3 linked regions of the Arabidopsis thaliana genome follow. The protein of the gene in region 2 interacts with the protein of the main gene of each other region in a pairwise test. Each region holds a gene or a part of one and is shown on either strand. Other genes may lie near its edges.

What was found.
Region 1: the proteins of DIS2 (region 2) and WAVE2 interact in a two-hybrid assay, tested with the Arabidopsis thaliana proteins (one study listed by BioGRID).
Region 3: the proteins of DIS2 (region 2) and ARPC4 interact in binary tests that used the Arabidopsis thaliana proteins (3 or more experiments, as listed by UniProt).

The regions. Positions count from the first base shown.
Region 1 is NC_003070.9:10,189,801-10,200,220, reverse strand, and holds WAVE2 (SCAR family protein), read left to right. Parts: upstream 1-5,007; 5' UTR 5,008-5,320; coding exon 5,321-5,457; intron 5,458-5,931; coding exon 5,932-6,095; intron 6,096-6,497; coding exon 6,498-6,621; intron 6,622-6,714; coding exon 6,715-6,844; intron 6,845-6,932; coding exon 6,933-7,000; intron 7,001-7,078; coding exon 7,079-9,257; intron 9,258-9,381; coding exon 9,382-9,474; coding exon of another isoform or gene 9,475-9,501; exon of another isoform or gene 9,502-9,574; coding exon 9,575-9,691; intron 9,692-9,818; coding exon 9,819-9,869; 3' UTR 9,870-10,084; downstream 10,085-10,420. Other genes in the region: AT1G29180 (Cysteine/Histidine-rich C1 domain family protein), read right to left, coding at 1-593; AT1G29179 (cysteine/histidine-rich C1 domain protein), read right to left, coding at 643-1,359. UniProt on the Arabidopsis thaliana protein: Involved in regulation of actin and microtubule organization. Part of a WAVE complex that activates the Arp2/3 complex. Regulates trichome branch positioning and expansion.
Region 2 is NC_003070.9:10,954,684-10,965,103, forward strand, and holds DIS2 (Arp2/3 complex, 34 kD subunit p34-Arc), read left to right. Parts: upstream 1-6,224; 5' UTR 6,225-6,422; coding exon 6,423-6,484; intron 6,485-6,674; coding exon 6,675-6,741; intron 6,742-6,834; coding exon 6,835-7,042; intron 7,043-7,137; coding exon 7,138-7,295; intron 7,296-7,398; coding exon 7,399-7,476; intron 7,477-7,554; coding exon 7,555-7,687; intron 7,688-7,783; coding exon 7,784-7,875; intron 7,876-8,001; coding exon 8,002-8,058; intron 8,059-8,128; coding exon 8,129-8,194; intron 8,195-8,280; coding exon 8,281-8,316; 3' UTR 8,317-8,548; downstream 8,549-10,420. UniProt on the Arabidopsis thaliana protein: Functions as actin-binding component of the Arp2/3 complex which is involved in regulation of actin polymerization and together with an activating nucleation-promoting factor (NPF) mediates the formation of branched actin networks.
Region 3 is NC_003075.7:8,152,206-8,162,625, forward strand, and holds ARPC4 (binding protein), read right to left. Parts: upstream 4,586-10,420; 5' UTR 4,512-4,585; intron 4,163-4,511; exon of another isoform or gene 4,122-4,162; 5' UTR 4,042-4,121; coding exon 4,039-4,041; intron 3,867-4,038; coding exon 3,801-3,866; intron 3,468-3,800; coding exon 3,415-3,467; intron 3,306-3,414; coding exon 3,278-3,305; intron 3,180-3,277; coding exon 3,105-3,179; intron 2,889-3,104; coding exon 2,784-2,888; intron 2,387-2,783; coding exon 2,293-2,386; intron 1,964-2,292; coding exon 1,857-1,963; 3' UTR 1,602-1,856; downstream 1-1,601. Other genes in the region: AT4G14145 (cytochrome C oxidase assembly protein), read right to left, coding at 294-371, 455-581, 687-886; PAKRP1 (phragmoplast-associated kinesin-related protein 1), read right to left, coding at 6,440-6,727, 6,840-7,628, 7,701-7,853, 7,938-8,036, 8,150-9,346, 9,422-9,551, 9,633-9,782, 10,413-10,420.

The sequences.
Region 1 (10,420 bases), 770 kb from region 2:
CTGCATTGTATACAAGAGTAGAGGTTACCAAAATAGATTGGTGTGATGCATGCATCACACTGCTTACTGTCATCGTAATCTCTGTCTTTGTTCTCATCAAGTCTCAAATGATGTTGTTGATGACTAAAATGTTGTATGATTCCATCACTTATCGTCACAAACGGCTCAACTTCTTCTTCAATCTCTTCTAACACCCCTTCAAGCTCTATGCCATCCCACACATTTCTTTGTGTGGCACATCTTGAATGTGCTCCGTACGAACAATCATCCTTGATGCAAGAATAACCCCCAAAATCGTTGTCGATAGTTTCGCGACAAACACCACAAGATCTATCTCGTTGGTCGAACAAAGGGGTAAAAGAGATGCGATGGGGGTGGCGAGATATCCTTATGACACGTGGTAAGTTGATACATCTTAGATGGACCACAAAATCACAAGGGGGACACATATAGATAGGAGAGCTTGCATCGGCCAAGGCGCACACATTGCAAGTTAAGAAAGCTTGTCTAGGAAAGAGAGCAAGTGTATGCTGATGCCAATTCGGATGGTCTATATACAAGACTGGTGGTTTTTCCGCACAAACTATATTCATAGCATAATCACAATCCGAGCAATAGTAGAATATCTTTTCGAGATCCTCCTCACAACAGAAACACTTTCTGGTTTGAATCCGATATTGAGTTGCTGAAAGATATTATTTGCTTAATGAGTGATATGAGCTCCGACTCTGGCTCCGGCTCCGAATCCAAGTCCATAGAGCTGACAAGAGAGATTAGTTGACTAAAACGTAAAATAAGTGATTTCGTTTTTGACATCTTTTGCGACTCATCCAACTCCTCACCCGTTACCACAACCGTGTCGACTGTGAGTATTTGAGAAATGACTGATATGAGCTTTGACTCCATCTCCGAATCTGAACTCGAACCCGAATCTGAATCTGTGAAATCCGGCTCCGGCGACATGAAAAGACTGTATATTTGAACGATGATCGATATGAGCTCCGGTCTCGGCTTGAGTTTGAATGTTTCAGAGTAGAGTGACATAACCTGTGAATTAGGCTTTGGCTCAGAATCAGAATCTATAGAGTTTTGGAGAGATAATTCTTGAGTAATGAGTGATATGAGATTCCTTAACGGCTCCGGCTGGGAATCCAAATCCATGGAGTTGAAAAGAGAGATTGTTTGAGCTATGAGTGACATGAGCTTCGTCTCGGGCTTCGGCTGCGAATCCAAATCCATTGAGCTAACGAGAGATATTATTTGAATAATAGTACATGATACGAGCTCCAAATCCGAAGAGTTGTCTAGAGAGATGAGCTGAGTAGCAAGTGATATGAGCTTCGACTCGGGAGAATCCATAGAGTGCAGAGAGAGAACGATTACTTGAGTAACGAGAGATTTTGAGTTTGAATGTGATTAACTTAGTGTTTCTGAATTTCTAATTGTAATAAAAACACATCTTACACATATAACAATGTTAGTACTATATACGTGTGTTAGCTTACAGGCTGTCCGACTACGAAGTCAACGATCGATTTATAGATTAGATATGTATAAATCATCGGTAGTTACGTAGTATTAGTCTACAATATTACAACTAGTATTCGAGTTTCTAAACTAATACTAAGAATTAGCCTACGCAATTACTTTCACAAAACAACAAAATCATTATTGAATGATCTTTCCTTTATGAGGTTGTCCGAACGCAAAGTCAATGATCGATTTAGAGATGATAACAGATATAATAGTGCAACTTGCTGGCATTTATATATGTTGAGAATCTATCACCCTCGAACACGTACCAACTGATCACCAAGATCAGGCGGCTAAAAAGTGCACTCGGTCTAGGAGTTTCGAATACTTGAGTTAAAATGAAATTTTATCTAGTTCATATCTTTGTATATAGACTACAATACAAAATAGTGTATTGGCAACAACGAGACCATTACTATGGGTGTTAAGTGTTAACATAAATTGTTTGTATCGTATCTACTTATTTTCATGCTTCTCTAATGATTATATATTTGTATATTACATCATACGTATTTTTATCATCAGGTTCGAGTATAATATTTATTTTGAAACTACAAAGCCACAATGAAATTTGGTTTATTCACTGTTGGTGACTTTCCCGCCACATTATAGCTGGTGTTGGAAGCTCATTAATTTGACTAATCAAAACAACAGAAAACAGATTCAATAATATTTCTTACAACAAGAGCAATATGTTGAATACAAAATATGGAACAAAATATTAATCGAACAAACACCGATATTATATTATTTTGTATGGACAACACTTCATACAACCTATATATGCAAAATGGTCGAGACATATGAATATATGATTGTAGGAGCAATGAGACCATGACTCTAGGTGTTAACACAAATTGTTTGTATCATATCTACTTATTTGCTATCTCTTATATGATTATATATTACAGTCATACATACCCTTATTATCAGGTTTGAGTTTAATATTTGTTTTGAATTTAAAGCTTCATTGTTTGATAAATTAAATCTAAACACTATATGGACGTAAGCCCCGTCGAAAGATAACAGAAGTCTAAAGCAAAATTAAAATTTGTTTTGTTCTAATTTCTTTCATTTCAAAATTATAAAGATATTAATTCTAGAAAATCCATATAGTTATCTCATATATGACAATAAAATATTTAATCAGTACAACTCTACCAAATAAGCAAAATATAAGCAATTATAAAAAACTTATAACAAAAGGATAAATATTTTGTATTCAGTTTAAGAATTTAAAACAAAAATAGATTACCTGTTTATGGAACTTCGGTTTTTGTTATGGTAGAAGGTAGATTACACAGAAAGAGAATAAGAAAGATGATACAAAGGATTTTAGGCAGAAAGAAATAATTATGAAATTGCATGGCATTGTTAACATAGACTAGAACTCTGTTTTGAATGCATAGATTATTTTTTCGAAAGAGAAAAACTTTCATATCACATGATTTTTTTATTTTTTTTTGGATACAATCATACATATAATGTTTGATGGATGAAAGACAAAGCGAACGCCAAGTATAATTTGTTCATAAAAGATCAGATTTTATGATATCTGGTGTTTACGATATCGCCACCAGAAGTATCCGTCATTTTGAAGACCAAGTTGAAACACCATAAGGGGTTGAGTTTGACAGCCTCCCTGTATGGCTTCCTCCCACTTCTATATAACACCAACAACTCTTAGTTATGCTTCTTCTTCTTATATTAGTTGAGAATGAAATTAAGATTTTCTTCAATATCAAAGTTGGTGTTTTAGATACAATTGAGTCTTATTATGAGGTTTTGGGTTCTTTTGAAATCCTTTGATGTCTCTTCTTCCATGCAAGTTCGAATTGTAGGATACAAAAAAAAATGTCTCTCTTCTCTTGTCAACTTGAACAAAACCACTTGGAAGATGATTTTCCGTGTTCTATATGCTTAATGACATTACTGCTTCTTGATTTCCTCTTGTTTTTAACCCAAATTGGTCTCTCCCCAAAGTATAATCTTCTGGGTCTTTTTCTTGTAAAATTTGGCATGCTCCAAGATCTATATTAGTAGCTATCTCTTTTTTTTTTGGTTTTTGGTGGTTGTTTGCCTTGTTCACTCCTCCATATATAGTAACTCTTAAACTGTCGAAACATTACCGTATAACATGTTTGTTTGTAGTGATTATTTTAATCGATGTTAATATGCATCAGTTGCAAAAAAATGATATTAATTTTGCATCATTGAATATAAGTGATTTATTATTTGTATCAATTTATCAAAATAACGTTAATATTTGCAACATTTATAATAAATAATTTTAAGTGTTTATATTAATTATAATAACTTATAAAATAATACTAAATTAGTTTTTATGAAACAAATATCTTTATTAATTAATATTAAGCGAACACTTAAATTTAGTTGGGATAGTAACTTTACACTTTTTGGACACCATCTAAAACCAGAATTATGTAACTTTACATATATAAAAAAATTATGGAGGTTTTTTTTTCCTTCTGTGGGAGATATGTGGTATGTAAACAAATTGAATAAACAATTATATCAGTTAGTGCAACTGATGCTAAATCTGTAATTAGCATCGGTTATTATTGATTTAAATTTTGTATCACTTTCTAAATGATTAAAATTCACATATTTGTATTAATATTGTGAAAGTGAGGCAAATAGACCTAGATTTGCATTAATTTTAATGAACTGATGTCACACAAACTAATACGACATCAGTTATTGCAATTGATGTTAAATTATAATTTTTGTATCGATTGTAAATAAGTAATTCAAATTAGTATTTTTTAAATTTTTGTTGCAAGTTAATTGATACAACTAACCTTTTTTGTAGTGAGATTCTTGAGACATAATATCCCTGCCTCTTCTTCTTCTTCAATTGTTGGGGTTGTTCTCCCAATCATAAACATTCTGGTGGATGTAAACATAAAGAGCAAGTGATTTTAACTCTTGTATAGAAAACTAGGAGTCTTGAATGCATTGGAGAAACCACTTTGCATCGGATATGCTTAACTAATTTACCTAGTTCCAAGAATTATAAATGTGGAATTCCACGATTACAATTAAAAATTGTCTACATTTATTGTATCATACTAGAACGTACTATTTGTAATATGTCCATCTCACTCGTTGGACTTTGTTTCAACATGTAACCAACCCAACAATTTTATTTATTGACAAACAAACAAATCCTTACTCAAATAACTACAAAACTTGACGAAACATTTATTTGACATTGACATTCTCTCACTTTTTTTCCGAAAACCACTTCATTTTTAAATTACAAAATCGAACATTTATTCTGTAATCAAAATTAGAATTTAATGTTCATATCGTGCGAACCAATAACCTTTCTTTGAACCAAAAATAAAAATAAAATCCTTCTTTTCTCAAAACCCCATCACGTAATAACACACAAAATACAAGGGTAATTTGGTCTTTCTACTTTTCTGTAAACCCCCCACTGGTAAATGAAATTGGAAAGGAATGGCTTGCGATATTGGCAATGTCAATGTCTCTCTCTCTCACAGTCTCTTTCCCTCTCTGCCTCCAAAATTTCCCTCTCTGTTTTTGAGCAGTTAAGCTGCCTCATCAATCTCACTCACCAGAAACCCATCAACAATCATTAACCTTTTTCTCGTTTTCATCAAAACCCATTTTCTCAATTTCTTCAAAAAAAAACCTTTTGATTCTTTCTCCTAATCCTTTTCCCAGCTCTCTTAATGCTTTAGCCACAAAACTTTTTGTATCTCAATGTGTGACAGTTTTGTACCTTTTAAGAGAAAAAATGCCACGGAATGTATACGGTATGAACCAAAGCGAGGTGTATAGAAATGTCGATCGTGAAGACCCTAAAGCAATTCTCAATGGTGTTGCAGTTACTGGACTTGTTGGGGTCTTGCGTCAGCTTGGTGATCTCGCTGAGTAAGTATTCAATTCGAGCTAATGTTGCGTCTCTTTTGGGTATCTCTACTGTTGAATGATTCTTTGAGCTAGTGGTGAAGTTAAAGATGAGAATCATTACTTTGTGTGAAAGTAATTGCCTTTACTTGTTTAAGGTAATCTAATTGGTGTTTGTAGCTACAAATTTGGGAACCCATTTTGATTGCATGATCCTTTGAAGTTTTTGAGTTAAGCTTTAGCAAAAAGGAAGAAGCTTTATTCATTTATGATTCTATGATTGTTGTGATGTTTCTATCAATCATTCTCCATTTTTGCTGTGTTTAGTTTTGTTTCATGAGCTTAGTTTATGTTTCTTAGCAACTCCTTATGTGGTGACTCTTTATGTCGGCTCTGATATCAAGCTTAGTTTGGGTTTGGAGTGATCTCTGGTTGATAAGGGTCATTTTAGCACAAAGGAAGAAACTTTCTTATCGATTGCTTTTTCTCTTGATTAAGGTTTGCAGCAGAGATATTTCATGGGATACAGGAGGAAGTTATGGCTACAGCTTCAAGAAGCAATCAGTTAAAGATTAGATTGCAGCATATAGAAGCTACAGTGCCTCCACTAGAAAAGGCGATGCTTGCACAAACAACTCATATACATTTTGCATACACAGGAGGTTTGTTTTGTCTTCTTCCCTCTTGTCAATCTTCTTATTGTCTTGACCCAAGGTGTCTGATTCTTGTTAGGTTTCACATTAATTCTTTTAATAAATTATGTCACATCCTTAGTTCATTGTAGGCCTTCACATGCTTTTTCACTTACCCTAAAACTAAAACTTTCTCTGACGAGGCTAGTTTAGAATCTGGAATGATTGAGAAACTAAATCATTGTATCTTCTGCAAAACCTTAAAATAGATTAACTTAAAATTGAATTGATAGTATTAGTTGTTTGGTTCCCCTTGGCAAACTTTTATTTATTGTATTGAAACCGTGGAAGTAATGGGTGGTGAGAAAGTGGTCATGCTTGTATTTTTCTTACTTTATATCTTGTGAACTGAAGGAGTTTAATGGGGTTCAGGTCTGGAGTGGCATCCTCGTATCCCAATTACGCAAAATCACTTAATTTATGACGACTTGCCTCACATTATTATGGATCCCTATGAAGAATGCAGGGGTCCTCCACGGTTACACTTGCTTGATAAGTATGCCTCAAGCTAAAATATTTATATCTGATATGTATGTACTATGTACTATAATCCATCATGTTATACTGATTCTTTGCTTTATTTTCTCAGATTTGATATAAATGGTCCTGGATCTTGCTTGAAGCGATACTCAGATCCTACTTATTTCAGAAGAGCATCAAGCAACCTGAGTCAAGGAAACAAGAAGTTCCAAAAAGATAAAAAGCATTGTAAAATGAAGGTGTGGTTCTCAGATTAAATTGGTAAACCATTTTCTGTAGAATTCTCTTTTACTTGACACATATATATCTGTTTTCTGGCATGGACAGAAGAAAAAAACTTCGTCAAGGAGTCGAGATATGTCACGTTTGGCCTCCTTGGCTAACCAGAATGCCAGGTAAATTATAGATATTGTTGGCATATTTAAGTTTCCGTGCACCTAAAGAATAATTAACTCAGACATAGTTCACTCCAGGAAGACATTTGCTTCATTTAGCTTCAGTGGACAAACCTCTTCTACCAAAACCACCTCAACCAGTGACATGGAAAAAAGATATGATTTTCAAGATCATCATTCTCGCTCTTTTGAGTCCAGAAGTGGTTCAGGCTACAATGAATGCCTTTCAACTGCAACTTCTTCACTGAAGACTGGAGAAAGACCGAAAGGGGTGTTCGTTTCATCCAGCTTGACACCAGGCTCTTGCACTATTGCTTCAGTCCTTTCTGAATGTGAAACCGAAGATGCTCATGATAATTTCCAGTTTAGTCCTTCTCAAGGGCAAGCTGCTCGTGGCTCTTCTTGCGTTAGTTGGGATGAGAAAGCAGAGATAGTGGAATCTCTTGGTCTGCAGACAGATGAAGCTTCTGAAATGGTGGAGGCGAACTCTGTTGTAGATACTCTAGATGAGAAACCAAGCTATGGGGAAGGGATAGGTGGAGTTGATTTCCATTCTAAGGACAATGAAAATGATAAATCAGAATCAGGACTACGAAAACGTGCTGGGATTGATGAGGTAAGAGAGATAAAAAATGGTCGGGAGATTGTGGGAGAACCGAGGGATAGTGAACAAGAGACTGAAAGCGAAGGGGAGTGTTTTGTTGATGCGCTTAATACTATCGAATCAGAATCTGAAAACAATCAAGGGCTTCAAACTAGTCAAGTGAGCAGTTCCTGTGGTGTTGCAGATGAGAGGTTGGAAAAGTCAGTGTGTGAGCAAGAAACAGAGCAGAATTCCTACAGTGTCGAAGATTCTTGCAGATCAATGGATGGGCTTATGGCCAACAGTTTTAAAAATGAAGAGAATGCATCGTCAGAAAATGTATCTGTTGAAATGCATCAACAAAATCTACAGGCGGGTTCAGATATCAACCGCTTACAAAAAAATGATCTTTGTGCAAACAAGGATATGCGTAATGATTCTGGTGGAAAAGATACCATCACATTTACATTTGTGCCAGGTCTCGAGAACAGCTTAGTTGATTCATCAAACCCCTTGATTCATCATGGCCTACAGGAAAATCAAGAAACAGAAGCTGAATCTTCTGGGGATCTCGAAGCCTTTAAAATATGGACTAATGGTGGTCTATTGGGACTGAAACCATCGAAACCTCCAGTCTTGGCAATGCCAAGTTCTTTAAGTCCAGATTGCAAGACCGAGGAAAGGACAGTTGGTTTTGCAGAAGCTGAAAAAGATAAAGCAGATGATCTAGTTGAAAATGCTTCACATAGACATGTTCTGAATAATTCAAGCTTAGCAACGCCAGGAACCCAAAATCCAGGTAGTTCAAATGGCATAGTCATGGGTATTGTAGACCAAAGAGAGTCCCATGAGACTTCTTCTGGAGTTTTTGGACTCAGCCACAAGTTTCTTACTAGTGGTTTCCGCAGAAAGGATTCATTTGCACATGATAGAAAGACTGTACCAGCAACGATTCCAGAGAACGATGAAGTGACTACAGAGAGGAGGAGGTTTTGTGACCAAGATATTAATGAGAAAACCTTTATGGACCCCTTCAGAGACGAAGCTCCTATTGATTGGATCACTTCGTCTCCGCCTCTTCAACACATGAAAATATCTCTCAATCCCGCTGACACTCTTCAGGCTTCGAGACTGAAGCTTAAATTTTCAGATGGAGACAACACTTACAATACCTTTTCCTCCTTCCAGTTGCTTCCAGAGACTGGAACTTCCCTTCCTGATTCTTATTCTGACGACGACACTTTTTGTAGATCATCTCCTTACATGTCAGATACCGATTATCTTAGCGATAATCACTCCTTGTCAAATTCTGAGCCGTGGGAAGAATCCAGTGACAGCCATGGAAGAAAAGAGCAAGAACTATATGATTCTTTCCACGAAAGTAGGCATGTTGATAACAATGCTGAAGCTTCCCCTCTAGGGATCAAATCAGAAAGTTCTTGCGTCGCCGTAAACCTCTCATATCTCCAAAATCCTGCTGAGCCCTTACCACCGCCATTTCCACCCATGCAATGGATGGTTTCAAAGACACCTTCAGAGAAAATGGAAGACAAAACACAGTCCCTACAACTACAAGAAGCTCTCAGGTTTGCGTTTGAGAAGCATATTTCATTGCCTACAGCTAAGAACGAACTGCCTAGCATGGTGACTTCTGCTCCTAAACCAGAAATTAAGGTATGGAGAAGATTTTGACTCTTTCTTCCTACTTTTCTACAGTGTGGGTCAGTTCCATATATTCCAGATGATCGTTTTCAATATAGTTCAAATTACGAATCTTAACAAGCATATGTTCTCATAGGCCCATCTGAAGAATAATGTCAGGGAGGAGAAACAAAGTGCCAACGCAAAGGAGACTGAAACTGGAGACTTCTTGCAACAAATCCGAACACAAGTGAGTGCAAATAGTTCCTTTTTGTGAAAGAAAGTTATATTCTGATGCTTGATTTGTTATATCATCTTTTGCTACATTCTTGGTTTCTTTCAAATCAAAGCAATTCAACCTTAGGCCTGTGGTCATGACAACGACATCATCGGCTACTGCAACAACTGACCCTATCATAAACACTAAGATCAGCGCGATTTTGGAGAAAGCAAACTCAATACGCCAGGTTCATCCTCTAACTTCTGCATCTATATATATCCAAAGCAAATCTAATCTTTATTTCAGAATCTAAGTACTTTTTGTCTTAAATCCAACACAACATTATCTATCACTCACTCTTTTCTTCTTTTCAGGCTGTAGCTAGCAAAGATGGAGATGAAAGCGATACATGGAGTGATACGTAAAAGCCCTTTATCAGATTCCATTTCATCTTTGTAATCTACTCTCTGAACGACATAAATGGAGAAAAGGGGTTCAAGCTAGTCCTGCAAGAATTTTTTGTATTTTGTATCATATCTAATGTGTGGATTTGTGTAGGTGATAGTAAATTTTGTCGAGTGTGATCTGTATCTTCAAGAAAATAAAGTAGTGCAAGAAATAAAAATGAAAGTAAAATCTATAATGCCCATTCATCTTAAGGAAAACTTTCTAGAACTTGGGATTTTAGCCACGAGCTTGCTACAAAAAAAATTCATGACCATAAAGAGCTAAACTTAAATTAGTCATGGACTTTTATCCTAGAGCAACTAAGAAGAATCCATGGTCATAGTTTTTTTTTTTTGTAGTACCACTAAATTTTATAAACAAGATCAACATTTGACTTGATATTACCATCAAAGCAAGTCGGCAATAGCAACATTGAACGACAAAACAAAGTAATGATTCACGTTTACGGTTATTCGATATATTTCAAGTTACGAATGAGAAGCATATGTTCTCATAGACCCATCTTAAG
Region 2 (10,420 bases):
TTTTTATGTTTATGAATAATAGAATGTATATGAAAGGTAGTCTTTCAAGTATCTTTTTTTTGTTTCATTTTTGAATGAAAACTTATCATTTCAAACTCAAATTAATTTCCGCAGTTGTAAGAAGTTTAAATGTATTAATTAAAATGTTTAACTTGTATAATTGTAAGAGGGTGACAATACTTGTATGTGATTTCTTATTACTGAGAAAAAAAACTCATAATATATCTTCTTAAGTTAGTTTAGCAAAAAAAAATATCTTGTTAAGTTTTATACAGATTGTTTTTTCAAGTTTTCCAATCACTCAAAACTTGACATATAAGATTTGTACATTTCAGAAAAATACTTCCAAATATATAGTCTTCCATATCAGTACTAAGATTCAATCTTTTGTATTAGTTCATCAAAATATATACACAACCAAGTAAGCACATACCGAATCAAATGATTTTGCATATTGAAACAAAACGGATAAATATATAGTGTAACTCACCAACATTTCTAGTGTAAATATCTAAATTTAGCCCAAACGTATATTTAATTCACAGAAACTCAAACTTTTTTAAACAAAATTGTGTTGATTTGTATAATTTCTAAATAAAATATTTGAAATTTGACATTTTCACTCTTTGAATATTCCACATATGAGAAACTATATACACGCTTTAATACGTGATGTTCACTTTTAAGTAAATAGAAGTAATTTCAATCAAATACATGAACTATAGGGCTGAATTATTATATTTAGATTCTTCACTCTCTATATATGACACGTATAAGGGAATCAAACTCGTCATTTGCATCTTTCCATGTGTTACGTGTGAAAGTGATTTGTCTGAACCAAGAAAGTCCTGATGGTATACTATTTGAGACTTTAAGAGTAGATTATACTTTATGCTATCATTGAGTATATTTATTCAATAATAGTAGTTAAAATATGTAGTATACTTTGTAATATATTTGTAATTTGAAATATATTACAAATAGTCAAATAGTGATCAGTACAAAAGTATTATGAACGAGTATTGTAAACAAATATTTTCGAGAATGGTAAACTTAAACAATGAGTATCCAATGTGACGAAAAAAAAAGTAACCAATGTTGAACATGCATCATCTATCAACCTTGCCGAATGCACTCAACAAACCAAAATATTGATGATTAAGTGAATATATTAAACCTCTCCCCAAAAAAAGGTTTTTAGTTAAACTTAAACTGTTTTTAGGTACATTAATTTTTTTATTATATAAAATGTAGAGTTTGGTTGTATATTAATATAAAATAACAAATCTTGTTTAAGTGCTCCCGTTCTGCATGCTAAAAAATATATTGTTTAAAAAAAAAGATATATATTGTTCATCAAATATTCAAATATATGTATTATGTAAGGTTTCATGAAAGTAAAAACAGACAAATTCTCTTATTTTAAATGTTTAATTTTATTGACTAAAATAATTTAAATACGAATACGACATTGTCGTTTCAAAAGGTTAATCTTATCATACAAAAAATGAAAATTGTGTTTTTGGAACTTATTAATTTCCTAGAGAGAAAATATAAATTTAAAAACAAAGTAATACTAGTTCACTTGTATGAACAAAATAGTTTAATCAAGAAAAATATATAATGCATTGATGTGATGAAATATAATGTGGTTAGAATGAAAATCCAAAAAAAGGTTGAGAGAGAGATTAGAGAGGAACCAAAGTGAATGTCGGAAGATACAGGAAGGAGGTTGGTCCGTTGGTGTCGGCTACTAACGGTTGGGCCACGTCATCTCATTTCATACCCTGTTGGCCCCACATTTTGTTGACCTACTGACAAAGTGACAGTTGACCGTTCTATATTACGGGACTGGCCCCCACGTTTTCTATATCTTTGCCGACAACTACCCTTTCTTTCTCCTTTATTTCCAATTTATTTTTTATTTAGTTTCTCTAAAATTTAACACATTAAAATAATAGAATTGTTAGTTTGAAAAATATAAAATAATACATGTACTGTTGCGTTACCTATAAATCTATGATATCCATTTTTTTTTTTTGATAAAATAGCCAAATGAATATTGAACTCAGTATTTTCATAACAACATCCAAACAAAATTAGTTGTATTAGTTTATTAGTGACTAAGATTCGGTTATAGAAAAAGTTGAATATCTTAAGTCAGGTGGCTATAATTTAAGCCAAACTATATAAATTTATTAATTATGTATCATGTTTTCTTATTTTCAAACTACAGTAAATGATTATCTATATCAGTAAATGAATATAAATAAGTTAGCAAAAATCTAATCTAATCAAGTGGTTGGATTTTTTTGACATGCATGGAGTTAAGAGATTAGGGTTCAAGTTCTTTTATTAAAAATTTAATAATACTGTAGATCCTTCATTACTGCAAATATTTTAAATGCGAAGAATGCACTACTTTCATTTAATTTCAAGACTTATTTGGATTTTGGTATTAAAAATTTTAGTTATAAAAAAGAAATATGAACTAATCTGCACATTGAAAAAGGACGAGGATCGAACATATACAAATGCAACATATAGGTCCAACAACATGGAATTAACATTCGATAGTTTTCCACCTATTAATAAAGAATTATTTAAATATTAGGTGCAAAAACTCTTACTCTTAACACCAAATGTAAAATCAAAATAATTTTCTAGTTTTACAAGTTACAACACATATATCACACTCCAATTTTACTTCCCCAAAAAAACTTACAACGCATACAAATTTCCGGATTTGAATATAAATATAATTATGACATATATAATAGTACGATTATTTTCTTTAAAAAAAAAAAAAGATTATAGTTGGTTTTATCAGCACATGTCTCTAGGTTATAGGCTTTGGTTAAAAAGGGAGTTTATATTAGTACTAAGTGTAAACAAGTAATTTGTATGCAAATTATTCATTTTTGCCTGATAACAATTTTATGCGTGGTCGCTGTTGTTAAATTAATTAGATTTGAAGTAATGGTTTATAATAAAATCGAGCCGTGTAAAATTCGCGTTGATGAGTCAATGCATCGTCACGTGAGATCTTTAAGTCTTAACCACTCACTGCGTTACAAGATCTCCAAATCAAACAAAATCTAGTTTAGTTTGCGGTGAAAATGAGATAAACAAAACAAAGGGACCACACTAATCCAATAAAACAAAATTTTTTTTTACTGTTGATAAAACAGGTTCCAAATTATTGTTGCTTCCTAAACGTTTTGCGATTAGTGCATAACAAGTGATTGATATGATTAGTGCTGAACAAAATGTATTTGTCAACAAGATGAAATGATAAAATTATATATCTTTTTGTTACAGTAGTTAAATCATTTAATATATCGACTCTGTTTAATTAGAACTAAACTAAAATGTGAAGGTTTCATTGGTTTCCATTTAAACCTGTGACAATAATCCCATGTAGTATATATGCGATAATGACCACCTACTGCCACACAAATGCAATATATACATACACATGCATACTCTTGCAATAAACTATTTTCGCCACTAATCATGCTGCTGTATTATGATGGTCTGTAAACCAAATTATATAATCATATATTGTCACTTTTACTACCCTTTCGTAGAATTATTTTCTTTTAAGATAATTTGTCCAAAAACATCACGCATGACTCATGATTGCTACATACCTGAGAAAAGCTGAGATATTTATTGCAAAATATTAATATTTGGTACGACTAATTATCTGGCTGAACATGAGTGTACATAGAATATCCACGTTAATGTGGTTCGAACCTAGATTAATAATAGAATGATCAGTACTTGTTGTATATATTATATAGCTAGCCATAAAACGTTACAGAAAGAGCGTATAGAAGATGAAGTAGAGCATCCCGTGATGGGCAAACTAGAAATTCGGTGGTTTCTCCGACATATAATGAGACAAAATAAGGTTCGAAATTAAAGTTAGTCCATGTGATCACTCGGATTCACGTTCATTATACGAATATGAATGAATCTGTTTCAAACATTTAGCACATGCATGTGACATGTGATTTTACTTGGTTTGATAATTTACGTGTTGCATTTTGTAACACAACTCTTAAAACATCTGGGTCAACATATTAGACTATATAGTTGTGTTTATATATGGTCTATCGTCTAGAATTACGGAGCTATTTGTCACGGCCCACAAGTGCAATGAAATGAAATTTAATTCATAAGTTTAGATTATCCACTGGAGTATGTATACTGTCCTACAAGAATCTTTCACTTAATATACATAGAAGTATTTTATATTATATAGACGTATATTAGTCACTTTATTGACGTTTACAGAATATGAAAAAATGATGGGCCTTCGCAATTGTACGTACTCGACAACATGCGTGGCGATGACTCACCTTATCCATATTTGATATTACTTTTTCTAGTACTCCTTGTTTTTACATCACTTTCTGGTAATATTTAATTAGAAATTTAGAACCCTAGACTTTGACACGGTAAATTTTAATAATAATAATATATAGTTGTATTAGAACAGTTAAGAAGTCTCACGAGTTCATAATCAGTTTTGCTTACTAGCTAACTGTATAAATAATTATGCTGGAATCTAACAATTCAAAATTAACTTTGCTTGAGAGTTTTATACCAAACACAAAAGTACAATTTAGTCTAGACTCTAGAAAAGATAAATTCTTATTGCGAAAAATAAAAATTGCAATATATATACAATAGAAGTTTTGGGAGGGATGGTTTGGAAGTTTTAACTATCTCCATGACTCGACATATAAAAATGTAAATATCATTGTTCAGCTAAATGAGCTACCATCGATTAGTTAAAAATAACATTCTTTTACGTCAACCAATCTATGGTTTAGGGGTTAAAATTTTCACTCTCAATATAAGAGGAAAGGTTTAAGTTTTTATCAAAGTTTTCCGGTTATAGAAATAACGTACGTACGACTGTTTTCTTTTTCTGCTTTTTTCAGATTTTCTAAAATCAGTACTTGGTCTTATATATAGATCGATATGCAAATATGCAATGGCGAAGATACGTCCCTAGCGGCTCCTCTTTTGCCAAGACCATGTCACGATCTATCTTACAAACGTTACTCATTTTACTATATCTACTTTTTTCTCCCTAATATAAATATAACTTCGCATATTTATTCATGAATATTTATGCTAAGAAAAGCCATCACATGCATTTATAGTATGTAAGCTTATGTCGATGCAGTAGGACCATATCCGTATATATGTGTGTGCGTATAGATACGTGAGATAGTTTTGCTTTTGAGGCTCCTTCATCTCTCACATCCGTCTGCCCACGATCAATTTCAAAATAGACAATTTTAAAGCTAAAAAATAATAATTTCTTTTTATATGTAGATGTAGCTTTCATATCTAACCTAAAAATATTTGTCGTCAAAGTAAAAAAACTTAATAAGAATATTATTTAAAGAGCTTTAAACTAATATTAACTATAAATCGTTCGTATACTATTGTTCGTTAAATTACATTTAGAGACTATACTAGTCTACTTTAATATCAATAAAAATAAAAACTTCACATGCATATGTTATTTGTCTTTATCCCACTCTGGCCAATTTAAATTTGAAAATATACGTAGACTTATAGATCAAATATCTTATCTTTTCATTGTTGAAAAAACTAATGTAACATTCTAATTAGTTAAATATCTCCACTTACAAAAAGAAAAGAGCCATATCTTATCCAAATTAATCTCTCAATTTTAAAAGCACACATTAAACGGTCAAATTCCAACTTTTGTTAGATTAAAATATTATGAAGACGTCAGATAATACGAAAACATTGCTCCACTAATTTTTGTCGTTTATTTCCATTCAAATAATCATATATCTGGAATCTAAAATATAAAATATCATTTAATTTACGTGCTTATTTTTTTTTTAAAAACCTTCGTCAGATTACAATCAACATAGCCAGGTATAATCAAAAGCCAGAGAAAAAATAATAATACAAATGTTAAAATCTGAAGGAAAAAAAAAAATCTAGAAAACACTACTAGTTTGCCACTGTCAAAACAAACATACAGATATTTGCAACATTAAATATTTTTGAAACGTTTAAGCTCAAATTGTATATTTATGAAATGGGCTCAGCTTATACTACATAGTATTTACATAATTGGGCCTATGGGCCATTTAAATTCATAAAAAATATAAAGTACAGAAATAACGAAACGGCGTCGTTACACTTAGCTGAGTAGCTGAGTAATAAAATTGAACAAATTAGTAAAATTCCAAAAAGTTATCGAAGAAACGTTCAAGCTGTGACAGAGAATCTCGGTCGTCTTCGTTTGTCTCCGACGAGCTCTCTTTCTTCTCCGATTAGATCCCGTGAGAAGAACTCAAAGGCTCTAGGGTTTCTCTGTGATTCAGTTAACTCCTTTAGATATCGTAAGAAAGTAATCGATGATACTATTGCAGTCACATTCAAGGTTTCTTCTTCAAACGCTATTGACGCGAGCTCAAAAGTAAGTGCTTTTCAATTCTTAATTAGGTACACTCTTAGTTTTACCTAATCTACAATAAGACCCATTTTTTATTTTGGTCGATTTGATTTTGATTTTGTGAAGAAATCTGAAACATTTTGGAAGAACTGGGTTTTGTAGAATGGAACCAAAGTTCAATACTTTGCTTGATTTTGTTTATGTTTTGGTTCAGTCTTGATAAAGCAGTGGAGCTAGATTATCAATGGATTGAATTTGATGATGTTCGTTACCATGTTCAGGTGTGAATTTTATACCAACATTTGAGTATTTGACCTCTGAGATCCATATGATCTTGTTCAATGTTCTGAGACTATATGAATTTTGTTTGATAGGTGACAATGAAGAATCCAAATCTGTTGTTGCTTTCGGTTTCGTTACCAAATCCACCACCTGAAGCAATGTCCTTTGATGGACTTCCTTTAGGAGCTATAGAAGCTATTAAAACCACTTACGGGACAGGTTTTCAAATACTTGATCCTCCTAGAGATGGTTTTAGTTTAACCCTCAAGCTCAATTTCTCTAAAGTTCGTCCTGATGAAGGTTTTTAAACGAGTCTCTTTCTCTAATTGATAAGATGTTGTTTTGATTTAGATGTTGGTTTTGTTCTCTAATAGAAAGTATCTATGTTTTGGCAGAGTTATTAACGAAGCTAGCTTCCATTAGAGAAGTGGTGATGGGTGCACCGTTAAAAATCATTTTCAAGCATTTAGCTTCAAGGACGGTTGCTCCTGAGCTGGATAGGCTTGTAGCAATTATGCATAGACCTAACGAGACGTTTTTCCTCGTGCCTCAGGTATATATATACTCTATAGGTCTTTCGTATGTAGCCATTGAAGTAGGTTCTTATGATTAGTAAGAATCTAGAGAGTGATAGAGAACTTAACTGTGTATCACAGGCGGATAAAGTCACTGTGGCATTTCCTATGAGATTTAAAGACTCCGTAGACACGATTCTGGCGACTTCTTTCCTTAAGGTGACAAAATGATCAAAGCTAAATTTTCAAACAGGTTTTGATTTCTGTAGTACTGAAACTTTGGATATAATGATATAGGAATTTGTAGAGGCGAGGCGTGCTGCTGCGCTTAATACTGCTCCTTCTTGTTCTTGGTCTCCAACCGCACCGCAGGAATTAGAGGGAGCTCCTAAAGAAACACTATCCGCTAATGCCGGTTTTGTAACTTTTGGTATGATCTTTCTAAAATATATTCTGTTCGAACTCAATTTGCATTGGTAGTACCAATCTGAAAGAAACTAACTTTGAGATTATCGATATATCGCAGTCATTTTTCCTCGGCATGTGGAAGGGAAAAAGCTCGATCGTACTGTCTGGAATTTATCGACCTTTCATGCTTATGTTAGTTATCACGTCAAGGTTCATATTCTTTATCGAACTTTCATGTTTTCTACTTTCATATTCTCTAAATACCAGAACTTAGTCTCTCTATCTTAGTATGGATTTGTAAAACTGAGTTTTTGTTCGTTTGTTGTTATATCACAGTTCTCAGAGGGATTTATGCACACCAGGATGCGGCGTCGCGTGGAATCTATGATTCAGGTAAAACACCAAACTCATTACATTCGACTTGGATATGCGTTCTTTAGTTAACAAAATCTTGTTGTCTCAGGCTCTGGATCAAGCTAAGCCATTGGAGAAAACAAGATCGATGAACAACAAGTCATTTAAACGGCTAGTAAGTTGCGAAACAATTTGTTTTTCGACAGACTTTTTCTTTGTTTGTTTGCATTGTTTTTGAGCTTTGTTTCCTCTTCCTCACAGGGACTCAACGAGGTCAATCACACCAACTCGAAGTAGTTGGATTTCTCACGAAGCAATTTTGTAAAAACTTGTGATTAGCTGAGACATGTATTTTTTTTACTGGATTAAGTCTCTGTGATATTTATTTTAGTACAATTCTTTCAGATATTTCTATACATCTGATCTTGCTAAATATTTGAACAAATGTATAATGTGAAAATTGTAAGAAACTCACCTTGATATGGACTGTGTCTGGTCTTGATCTAAACATGGTGTTTTCAACAGAAAATAAAGTTTTTGTTTTGTTTTATAATTGTTTTTACAAAAATGAAGAAGATGAATCTTTATTGTTCTTCAGATTCTCAGATAGTCAAATTAAATGAAGTAATATTCGTACCAACAAATAGTCGTAAAAGTTGATTTTCATATAAAAACAAACGTTCAATTTATCCTTATACACAGATGTATCAAAGATTTGTAGTGATCTAGTAAGGTATAAGAAGAAGATTCAAAGGTCGCACGAGTAAATTAACGATTCCTTCGTAGTATACTTTTGAGGCCCATAAATTATGACTGGGCATATATTGTTAGGTTTCATTGTATCAAAAAATGAAATAAAAAGCAATTAACTGGCTTCGCCCGGGTTCGAACCGGAGACCTTCAGTGTGTTAGACTGACGTGATAACCAACTACACCACGAAACCTTTTTGTCTTCTTGATGTTGGTTTAACATATTCTATCTTCCTTACTGATCACCTTCACATTTTCGCAAACCATTGTATAATCTCTCATTAGCTCTAAGGACTAGAATATTGTTTCGAGAATGGATAAAGAAGCTGGAATAGTATTTGATATAAATGATGTTTTATGTCTTGCGTTAAAGAAATTTTGTCTGATTATTTTCGGATATGAAGTTGTATTTCACCAAAATCCTTTTAATACTAGACCATAATATCGATTTGATAACATACGATTTATATACTACGGTAGATTCAGATTATACAATATAGCATACAAACTGTGATAATTTTGCATCATACCGATTACCGTACTACGTTACGTTGTCGTTTTGGTGTTTGTATTATAACAGATTCATTTTTCTAGATAATTATGGTTTGAGTTTTATTATTACTTTTTTGATAATGATTAGCTGGGTATCGAATATCGATTACCAAGATTAGGTTTTGGTTTTGCGTAAATAGTACTCCTCCTTTTGGCTTGGTAAAAAAAACATAAAATTTAAATGTGAGTTTGTGGTAATCCATATAAAGCGTGAGAACTATTTTAAAATTTTAATGAAATCACAACAAGGACACTAGATTTATTTTCGCAAATTTCTCGTATTTATCTTATTATTGGTTTTATTCAGATAAGAGAGATTAGAACTAAAAAATTCTACAAACATGGAACCAAACTACATAAATAAAATAATATAAAAGAATAATGAACTAATTATTTTTAAATTATTGAAATTGTCTCTATTTTTTTTTCTATTTTTTTAATGGTTTCTAAGAAAATTAGAAATCTCTAATTTTTCTTCTATATAAATAAAAATAGAGATAAGTTAAAGTAAAATGAAAGCAAAAATAAAGTATAGAGATGGCTTGGAAATGCTCTTAGAAAGATGAAAGTAGAGTAGCATGATGCTCAGGTAGCGGGCGTGTGAGACACATGTGTTTTCTGCTCCTTTCCAAAAACAGATTAGGGTTTTAGAAACATATCGACATTTTGCCTTACTCGTATTTTTGGCATTTTTGCATTTCTTGCTAGTGTCATGAGGAAACTTCCTTTATTTTATGATTCAACGATATCGTTTTTAGCGGTAAATGACAGAGTGTTTAAGTTATTTGCAGTTCGAGATCTTGCTCGACGTGTCTAAATTCTCATCTATATCGATTTCTATTTCTAGATAGCCTCTCTTCCTCGTACTAGCTCGAGGACATCTAGCATATTTGAGAGATTCATTTATGTTTGTCACTGAGGTTCCTTGATTCAACGTCTGGTTGCTACATCTTTAATCGGTTCTAGTTGCGATTAAAAACAACATCGATTTTTGCATGGTGCTTCCAAACCTTGGTCTCCCACTTTTTCGTATTTTAGATTCAGAAGGAGCGATGGTTTTCTAGTTTCTTTTGTATCCTATTGCTCGTGTGATAGTTCT
Region 3 (10,420 bases), on a different chromosome or scaffold from region 2:
AAGAAATGATGTCTATGAAGTATGAGAAATTTTACTAGAAAATAAAGTTGTGTAGAAATTGGTATAAAGATGTAAAGTCTAACTGGTTATAAAACCTCTTTCAGATCTATTTGGACGTCGTAAATCAACACGACAACATGTATTATCAACAATTGGCAAGTCCCTCGTTGTTCTTGGTTTTAGGAAGCCCAGACAGAACTTACTGGAATTTGTACTTGGGCGATTATGTGAACTGAAGAGTCATTTAAAACTGAAACACATCTAAAAAGACTAATCTTATACAAAGACTCTTCTTAACTCGACTTGCTTTCGTTTAGCTTTGGAATTTTCTTGTACTCGTACGTGTTTATGTCCACCTTCTCTTGCATAGCCTGCGTTAAACAAAACCCAGTCAAGATTTTAGTGTTTCATCAAAGCTTTTATGCAGTCTAATTGAGCGTATATCCTTTGTTACCTTGAGCTCATCTTCAATGGATGTGTTTTTAGGTTTATAGGCATCGACAGGTCCTGTTCTCGAAAGTGCCTTTCTTGTTTCTATAATCTCCCATTCTTGGTCATCTTTTACCTTTGCAATATCCTTACTGAACTAACCAAATAAACCATATGTGGTGAATTCTAAACAGAATCATTGACATTTCCCCAGACATTTATAGATTCAGAGGTTTTCCAATCAAGAAAGAACTGACCTGCCTTGAAGGAGTTGGCCGAGTCCGAGGGCTCCAAATACAGTGAGAGATATCATCGGAAGTCCATATCTTACAAACGGGTGTCTCCTTCCCCACCTTTTAAACGATGCTGATGACTGCTTAAGAGTACCAGTAGGGGTAGTACCAGAACCGGAAGGAGAAGACTTTTGAGTTTTCTGACCGGTTTCGATTGTTGTCATCTTTGTATTAACTCTCAAAGCATACAACTGCAAGGAAAAAGCAAGAGTGAGAACCTACTACATTGTTATCATTTTTCTTAATCCTGAAAACAAACACAAGAGTAGCTACTACAATAAGCATTGAGGAATCCATTTTCTACTCTCTAATAACATTTTCTTCTGAAATTAGTCACAAAACATAGTGTGCAAATATGGTAATCTGTGAATTTCAGATCGACTCAATCAATTTGATAATAGAGCAGAGTTAAAGATCAATACTAGCTCTGTTTCACGTGACTGGATTTGTTTCGTCGTATCTTCTACAAACAACAGATTCGTATGACCTAAATAACGTTTCCTAAACCGTAGAAATTCTCAATCTAAACCCAGAAATCAGTTCCATTCTAGGCACAACACACCGATTCGTTGTTTGACATAAATAAAAACTAACCTGGAGCTGCGTGATGGCCGGAATCTGAAGTAGCTCACTAGGTCGACGCAGGACGAGATTAGATAGAGACGGCGATGGAGACGCCGAGAAGCGAGAAGAGTGATGACGAACGTTGAGCTTCTCGGTGTATACGGCGTCGTTCGTTCTTTTAGGAAATAATCAAACAAATTAATAAATTCCCCTATTATTAGTTTCAATAATGGGCCCAGCCCAGTAACTCATATTTTGGGTTACGGTGTAAAAGAAACGACGACGTTTTTTCCTTTGTTGTGGATCTTTGTTCTGTCAGAGATGAACAATTTGTTGGTCTTTGGTGGTAAGAATAAGATAAAACAACTTTTTGGTTTCTGGGATTGTACGTTCGAACATCTACGATCAACAGACCACATTTGATAAGTATCGCATTACATACACTACAATTACCAAGCCGATGGCTCGGTACTTTGGTTGTGTTAGAATAACAGAGAAAGTAGCAAAATGAAGAGTAGATGGATTTTAACCAAATAACGAGTGATTGATACAATGAAGGGTTACATTATACTACTTCAAGAGCTGCTTTACATGAACTGTTTCAAGAACTCCGTAGCAACGAGTCTTCCTCTTGTATTCACTGACTCCTTCAAGTCCCTTATTTCTTTCTCTATATCCTGCAATTTCCATGGTTAAAAAATAGTCACACTTCAAGTTTCAAATCTATTTTAAGCGGAGATTAGCATGTTGGAGGACATAATCAGAGTAACTAATCTCTGTTGACTCTTGTAGAAACAATTCAAATTCAAAGACGGATATAATGACCTTTGTTAAGGCAACTATTCAGAATACTACTTCTCAAGTTATTTCCGTGAGAAACACAACGACGTAAGGATGCATCACTAACATTAGGTTTGATGCAACCAAGACATATATTGATTGTTAGGATGCTACTAATGGGAGCAACCAAGGTCATAGAATAAAAAGATTAGGTTTCGAGAGAGACTTGCCTCCATAAACTGAATAATGAAATCAATTAGCTTCTGTTTCTGCATCTCTTCGCAGTGGTAGTTTGTTATAAGAAAGCTTATGTCATAGCCCTGTTCAAAACACCAACAAAGAAACCAATTGAAGGGAATAAGGGAATGGATCGTTCACACAATGCAGGGGAATAAACAGTAAACCATCTAAAGCCAAGGCAATGCATTTCCGCACAGTGAGATGATTCATGATTCATGATTCATAGAAGGGAAAAAGAAAGGAAAGGTGTGGTACATACAGACTATCTATCATCCTAAACCTAAAAAATGCCTGCACAGAAAGCTAAAATTAAGGAGAATTTGTGAATACTGTCTGCGTTATGTTTAATCAATTCGTGATGCATTTACCATTAAAAAAAAATAGAAGTTCGACAAAAGAGGGAATGCATTGCAACTTCTAGATAAAACCTAGTAGCACTCACAAGTACCTAAGTGTTGAATCAATAAGAAGGTCTACCTGCACTGGCTTCCTCCTCAGTACTTGAAAAGCTTCTGCCCTCATGGACAAGAATCTGAGAAATTTTTTGGTTAGTATGTTTTCAAGTTCATCCGCTTGCTTGACCTGCAAATTAAAGATAACAAATATTTGTAACAGCAGAACAAGACAGATGTCTAGACTAAGTCACGACTCGTCAAGACGTTATCTCAGGAGAAAGAAACAAAGGAAACGGTGAGAAACAGGAAAGTAAAACAACACAAAGCCTTTGTTGAACAGTGTACCACTGGGGCTCTTCCTGGAAGTATTTGAAGGAAAAGCTAGGGTAAGATGAACATTTACCTTGAGGCTTATCCGGAGTGAATTTATAGATGTTTCTATTAAACACTTTTCAGCCTCATTTCGGCATATTAAAACCTGCAAGTTGCAAAACTTAGCAGTCAACTACAAAACCTAGGTAAGAAGACAATGCAATATCAACGCTAAACTGGGAGGGAAACAAGTAAACTTCTTACAGGATTTAGCAAAAGTTCTGGGCTCGTCCTACAAAATTTAGCAAACACATGGTGATAATAAGATTCTATGCTTGAAATAAAAATGGAAGAAGAGCACCCCATTCTCACATGCATCTTCTTGTGAGAAGCTTACATACTTTAATTCAACCTCTGGTTTATTATGCCTTTCAACTTCTTGACAAGGAAAATTCTGCAAGTAGAGAAGTATAGAAGCTTTCAGGAATATAAACCATGTAAAGCTGAATGTTTTCAAAGACTCCACATGGCCCCTTTCACCTACTTTAACGAAATCGGTAGGTTCTGACACCAAATATTGCGAGAAAAACGTCAAAAAGTAAGTGAATGATGGTACAACATGTCTAATCAAAAAGTAAACAACTAATACAAGAGAATAACAGACCAAAGGTGGATGAATGAGATAGAACGCCAACATGAAGCTTTAACTGCCTTAAACAAACTTAACCATAAAGATGGAAACTTTGAGACCTATGCCATGATATCATGAACCAAAAATAATTTGTACCTGTAAGCACATGGCAGCCTCGAGTGTATTTTTTATGCATGCTAGATACAGCCGTAATGAGTTTGCCTGGAACATCAAAGACCCATCGGAAGCAAATTTTAAACAATTTCTGCAGTAAATCAGTATGCGATAGACATTGTTTAAAAGAATTGTTTCTAAACAGGACATGTTTGAATGAAAAAGAGTCTTTGTCAAGTATGAGAAGAATCAAAATTAGAATTACAGTCAAGGTTCTTACCATGTCCTAGAAATGATGTTATTCTACTCGAGACTTGCACCAGACTTAGGATTTTATCTTTCTTCTCGATGAATCTTTATGAGCTGAAAAAATAATCCAAACATAAACAAGAAAGCATCTTTAGTTTCATAGAATTTAGGTTACCAACTTTTTTATACTAAACGTCAATAAGAAAGCAACTTTAGGATCAAAATGTCTACAAGAAAACAAAACACTCTCAAATGTTTAAGATAAGAAGAGAACAAAATAACAATCAAGTAACAGCAAGATCCCGGAGACTAGAGTTTCTATGTAATCAACTCGAAGCAACAACAAGATCATGATTATTGAGAGACCCACTTAGAGAAATAAGCCAATCTACTGAAAGTCTGAAACTTTTGGAAAATGTGAGAAAGGGAAATCAAATTAGATCCCTAGGAATCAATCAGACAAATCAAAAGCCCTAAAACCTTGGTCGTGAACAAATTGCATACCTTGGACGACTTGGAGACTCGTGAGAGGAGAGATCGTAAGGAGATTTAGAGATCAACGATCGGAAAATTGAATCACGATCAAATTGACCGGATAAGTGAAACGAAATGCGTCAAAACCGAACCAAACCAGACACTCCGACCGGATCTGGTACATTCTAAAATGGAATGTTCATTGACCCACAAATACCAGCAAGATTCTGCGGATTGAACCGGTGAACCGGGTTGCTCTACTTCTAAGTTCTAATCTACAACTACAAGCGGTACTTGCGCTTTAACACATCTGTTTATGTTACTGTATTCATTTATAGCAAAGACTGGCTCTGCTTCTTGTAGAATGTTCTGTATCCGATGAGTAGTATATATCATATTTGCATGCGTAGATGTTGCAGCTGGGAGAGTTAACGCAGTCGATTTCTTGCTCAGAGGCAAGACTTCCTTCAGAGTACTTTTCTCTTGGCAAGAGCATTCCAAGATTATAAGAGACTCAAACTCAATTCCAATTGAACTCGTTGAGTCCTTAACTACATTCAAGTGATGAATTTGTTCAAGATGAGGTACTTAATGTTGAAGATACTTTGGGTTGCTATGTAAATTTTTCCACTGTTTTGGTTCCTCTGAAAGTTTACTTAGCTGTGCGTTGTGTTATTTTAGGTGCCGCCCTTCTGGGAAAACGATCTTCAGAGTATTATTCAGATGGGTTTCGAGAGATAGTCAGCAACAGAGCAACAACTGTATGCAAAACGAAACAAAAAGCAACAACATATGTCTTGTTTTAAGATGTCTAATATCTACTATATGAGTATGACATTCCCATTTGGTTGTATATTGCATAGGTTCGGAACTTGTGAAAATTGAGCCAAACAAATGGTGAACGAAGAACGGTACGGAGTTATTAATAGTCTCTGGAAGTAATGTTTTACTTCACATCGTTTCTTCTTGTATCTTTTGTTTTATTCATAAGAAAAAGTCTGCGTCTGTGAAAAGAATGGTAGATGAAGAACTTGTGGACAGATTTGTATTAGTAGAGAAGAGGTAGATTCAAAAAAAATTATATATGGATCTTATAGAAGTCTTTGTGTGATGTTTTTGGTATATTCAGGTCTCACTTGTTGGTCTAGTGTGTGACAAAGATGTTTCAAAAGTCACAAAAGTTAGATTTACTCTTTGATGATGGAACAGGACGAATTGATTGTAAAAAATGGTAATTAACACACATAGACTATACCCTTTTGAGATATGGAAGAGTTGTTTTTAGGTACAATGGTAATTTGCTATTTAGTGTAATCACCCACTTAGTGACACATCCTTCATGATAGCAATGCTTACAATAAGGCATCTGGCAACAATTCTCAGATCTCGACATATTCTCCAAACAGATTGCACAAGTCTCCGATTCTTCTTCTTCTTGGTCCAAATCTGTCGCCGACGGAGAAGAAATACAAGGCACAACACTGTATAACTTGTGTGTCAATCTGACAGAGACTATCATGAATAAAGGTTGTTGACGTTGTTGTGGCAAGTAAAAACTTTGACTTCTTTGCAGTTGGGCTTCGACAATCTTAGAACATATTTGTCCGGACAGGTCACGATCGTGGAGTTGGCGTTGAAGACGTTGATAGACGTAGTTCCGTTAGTGTAATTTGCTATTTAGTGTAATACCCAAAAATATGAATATTGTTACTAGAATATAGAGAGTGCGAGATAAAGGAAGGAGCACGCTCATGAAAATGAAAAGTAGAATTGTTTGGGAATTAGGATTGCAGTCTAAGCTAAGAGATCTGCATGAAGGTTGGTTTAATCTTCTACGAATCCAGGAGGTTTGCGTCATTTGTACATAATGAGTTGCAAGTTATGAGTGAAATTGGACTTATATCACAGAATCAGACACCCATTTTATACACATTAAACACACAAAATAGATATTAGAATTATATGTTGCACCTATCATAACCCGAAAACCAAGAAGGCTCAGCAAGATTTGAAAACTCAGTTTCTTTTTTGTAAAGCGGCTCAAACTCATCTCTCCATTGCTGCTCACTACTTGCATTTACTGATGGTTCCACGGCTTGATCACATTTGGTAGAGCATTCATTGTGAATATGAGATTGTGGGACGAGTTGGTTAAGTGTGTTGATTTCGTTTTCATGTTTCTTCTTCAGCTTGTCAATCTGTCTATATGCTTCTGCAGCTTCATACTCTGCATCCATCGCACGTTTCTGTTGACACAAGCCACATAGATTTTATGTAAGAACATGCATGCATAATAATAAAAGCAACAGACTTATTCAAGGATGTGACCTGACATGTTTAGAAAATGTAATAACGTACCTGTGCAACTGTTAATCCCTCTTCGGCTTCTTTAAGCCGAACAAGTAACTCTCCAGCTGCTTGTATGGCTTCAGCTGTATCTCTTAGTTGTGTTTGGAGACTTTTGTTCTCATCCCTCAGGTATTGTCTCTCCTTCTCTTTTTCTACCTTTAAGGCTGAAATTTCTGCTGCAAGTGCATTTATGAATCTGGACTCTGCTCCTCTGACTCCAGCTCTTGCAGCTGCCTTTTTGACATCATCTATTCCGTCTTGAATCCTTCTATGTCTTGCAAGCAATTGCATATGCTTCTCTTCCAGGTCTGCATATTGTTCAAGCATCCGTGCATGCCCTTCCATGGCCATCTGCATTGCTTCTTTCAACTCCTCCCCGCATCTTTTCTCAATTTCAAGTTCATGTTTCTGCTTATTAATCAGCGCCTTACTGGCTTCAAGCTCAGTTCTTAATTCCTCGGAGAGAGAAATCCATTTGGTCTCTGCCTCTGTCCAACAAAGTCTTTCCTGTTCTAATGTCTTCTCAAGACTCTCGTCCTGTGACTCAGGAATAGCGTTAACTGGGGGAGCTTGGTATGAAAGCTTAAGCAGGGTACACGTTTTCAGAGCTGATTTAAGAGAAGGGTCAATGTAACATTGCAGCTGCAACTTCAAATCCTGAATCTCTTCCAATAACACTTCCCGTTCTCCCATGTCACCATAAAAGTTCTTGAAATTCTCGACCTCTTCTTGCGTTCTTTCCAACTCAATCTTCGTCTTAAGCACTTCAGGGTGATTCTGATACATGTCCTTTAGAAGCTGCAACATTACATGTCAGTAAAAGGGTAATGCAATCAAATACCCTTTTACAAAACGAGAAGCCACAATTACCTTATGTTCATGGAGAAGAGAAGCAAATTCTTCATCAAGGAAATCCTCCTTAGATAATACGCCATCCATAAGGCTTTCAAGGCGAATAATTTTGTCCTCCCTTGTTTGTCCTATGATGGCATTGCACTCTCTCTCATGTTTGTATTGTTGTACCTATTACACGGTTTGGACCAATTTATGTTTGAGGATACAGTTACTAAGGGAGATTAAAAACAGAAAAAGACGCAAGTATCATACCAGTCGGTTAAGTTGGGTTATCTCAGAGGCTTGTTTAGTGCAGAACTCTTCCAGAGCCATTTCCCTCCTGATAGAACCTGCTAGAACCTTTTCTACTGCCTGTAAAGTGTAAAACTCGATCAGTTGGAGGAACCAATTATAGAAATGTGGAAACAAAATAAGACTGTGAATAACTATCTAAATCTATGTTAGAAAAAAGTCACAGTTCTTACTTTGGGAACTTGATTCTTGGATTTTTCTGCCACTTCCGAGTTGTCAACAGGTACTAACTGAAGATTTGGCATGTCACCCATTTGCTGGGCATCAAATTGTTCTCTGCATTTGCATTTACAGCACAGAAACTCTTTTGTATTCTCCTCTGATATTGCATCAGCTCCGGGAATGGTCTGCACACCTGCATCAGCCTTACTTATAGAGGTCGAAGGCTCACTATCTGGAGCTTTGAAGGAAAACCTGTACGTCGATCGTCTTTGAGCTGTACTCTGGCAATACGACTCAAGAAGTTTAATTCCTTTGTGGAGGCTAGATGCCAACCGCTCAGTCCGTACAGGAAAAACTTTGCTCTTCTGCGTAGACAAAGCACTAGAACAGTTATTCATCTTTTTGGATGTAGCCGGAGATGGGTCCGCAGCTTCTGTAACTAAATTTTCTCCTTCACTATCCTTCTGAGATGCTGTTGACAATTCTGATGTCTTCAAGCTTTTCCTGCTATTTCTAATCGTAGGAGAGACGCTCAGTGTGGGAGATTTTAATACAGGAGTCGCACCAACTGGATCTATACAAAGACTGGGAGATGCAGAATTTACTAAGTGCTCTGGATCATCTACTCCATCAGCTATCAATACATTTGCTGAAGTAACGTCTTGCGGAACTAAGTCAGGGCATGATGACACATCCTCTGACTTGTTCAGTGAAGAACAAAGAGCATCCTTGACTGAAAGAGGCTGGAAACTGGACTCGTGATCTAAAGTTTGCGAGTGTGTCTTGATCTGATTTTCTCTGATGCCAGTCTCTGTCTCAGTTCTCATATTATCCACGGTTTCTGGTTCATGGTTCTCAGTATGGCAACAAGCATCCTCCATGGCAACATCTGAGTCCTCAGGAAGCCGCTTTTCTATAGATTGGCCATCAGATGAATGTATACTCTTTACTCTGTTCATATCGTGATTGATCCCCTCAGAAGCTAAAGATGATTGCAAACCCACTTGAACACAAAGCCTTTCAACAGCAGCCTCATCAATTTCCATCTCAATATCACCATCATTATCTTCATGAGGTAAGGACCTTGGATGACCCAGACCGAAGCTTCTTAATAAATTCAAACTTCTACGTGCATTCCATGCAGTGGAATAAGCAACATTTGGATTGGTTGGATTATTTCCATCATTCTTCATCCTTTGTAGTTCATCCTGCACAATTTATCCATTAAAAGCCATATTCATATTTATATTTCTATCTTATAAAATATGTAAAAGAATCCGTACCCTCAGCTGGTGTATCACTCCACGCAAGAAATTTACATCATCCTGCATCACTTCATTGACAACAGCCTTATTCTGTATTGCCTTTGCACGCTGAGCAAATCTCAAGGTGCTGAAGGTTTCACTCCTGCAACTGCAGTTTTCGTATATACTTTATATTCTAGAAGATGGAGATAAAATAATTGCTGAAGTGGAAATAGGGGTCCTGCGTTACCTTTGAGAAGGAGAAACTGCACAAACCATTGCTAACTTTGCATTCCCACCAAGAGACTCTTGCAATAAAAATGTTAATCTGGAATCCCTGTAAGGTATATGCCTTGGCTTCCCTGTTTGAGAAATCTCTGCGAGGATGTTAATCAAGTTCCTGCACGTAACAAATTTATATGGTAAACATGTAGTTGATAATTTCATCTTGTGGTAAACATCCTGCCAATAACAGGACTGGTGAACAAACCAAGCAAATCTTTTTCTTTTTACCAAGCAAAATTTGTATATCCTCAGCAAAAGGGTAAAGGATATACAATAAATCCACTTTGATAAGACAATCAGCAGACAAATAATTGCCATTTTTGAGGTCTGAAGACTTCAAACAAATAAATATGAACTTCTGGGAAGCCCAAAGTATTTTTAGATCCTCAGCAAAAAGGTAAAGGATATACAATAAATCCACTTTGATAAGACAATCATCAGACAACAACACATGGAGAGATAGTTGTTCTAAAATTAAATATCAAAAAGCACTGCTCAAAAGACACAAGATCCTCATAAGCTACTACCACCATATTTCAAATTATTTTCCATTATCCCAAATTTTCAGTTCTTTTATAATCAAAAACTAGATTTCTAGTGCCTGCCGCAGTATCAAAAACTAGAAGACACAAGAACAGCAGAAGCTAAGTGTCAGTTCTTTAGTGCATCCTGCAGTATAAAATTAACGAAAATTCCATGCTAACTGAGATCCAAAAATAACAAGAGAGACTACTCTGAATCATACCCCAGCTG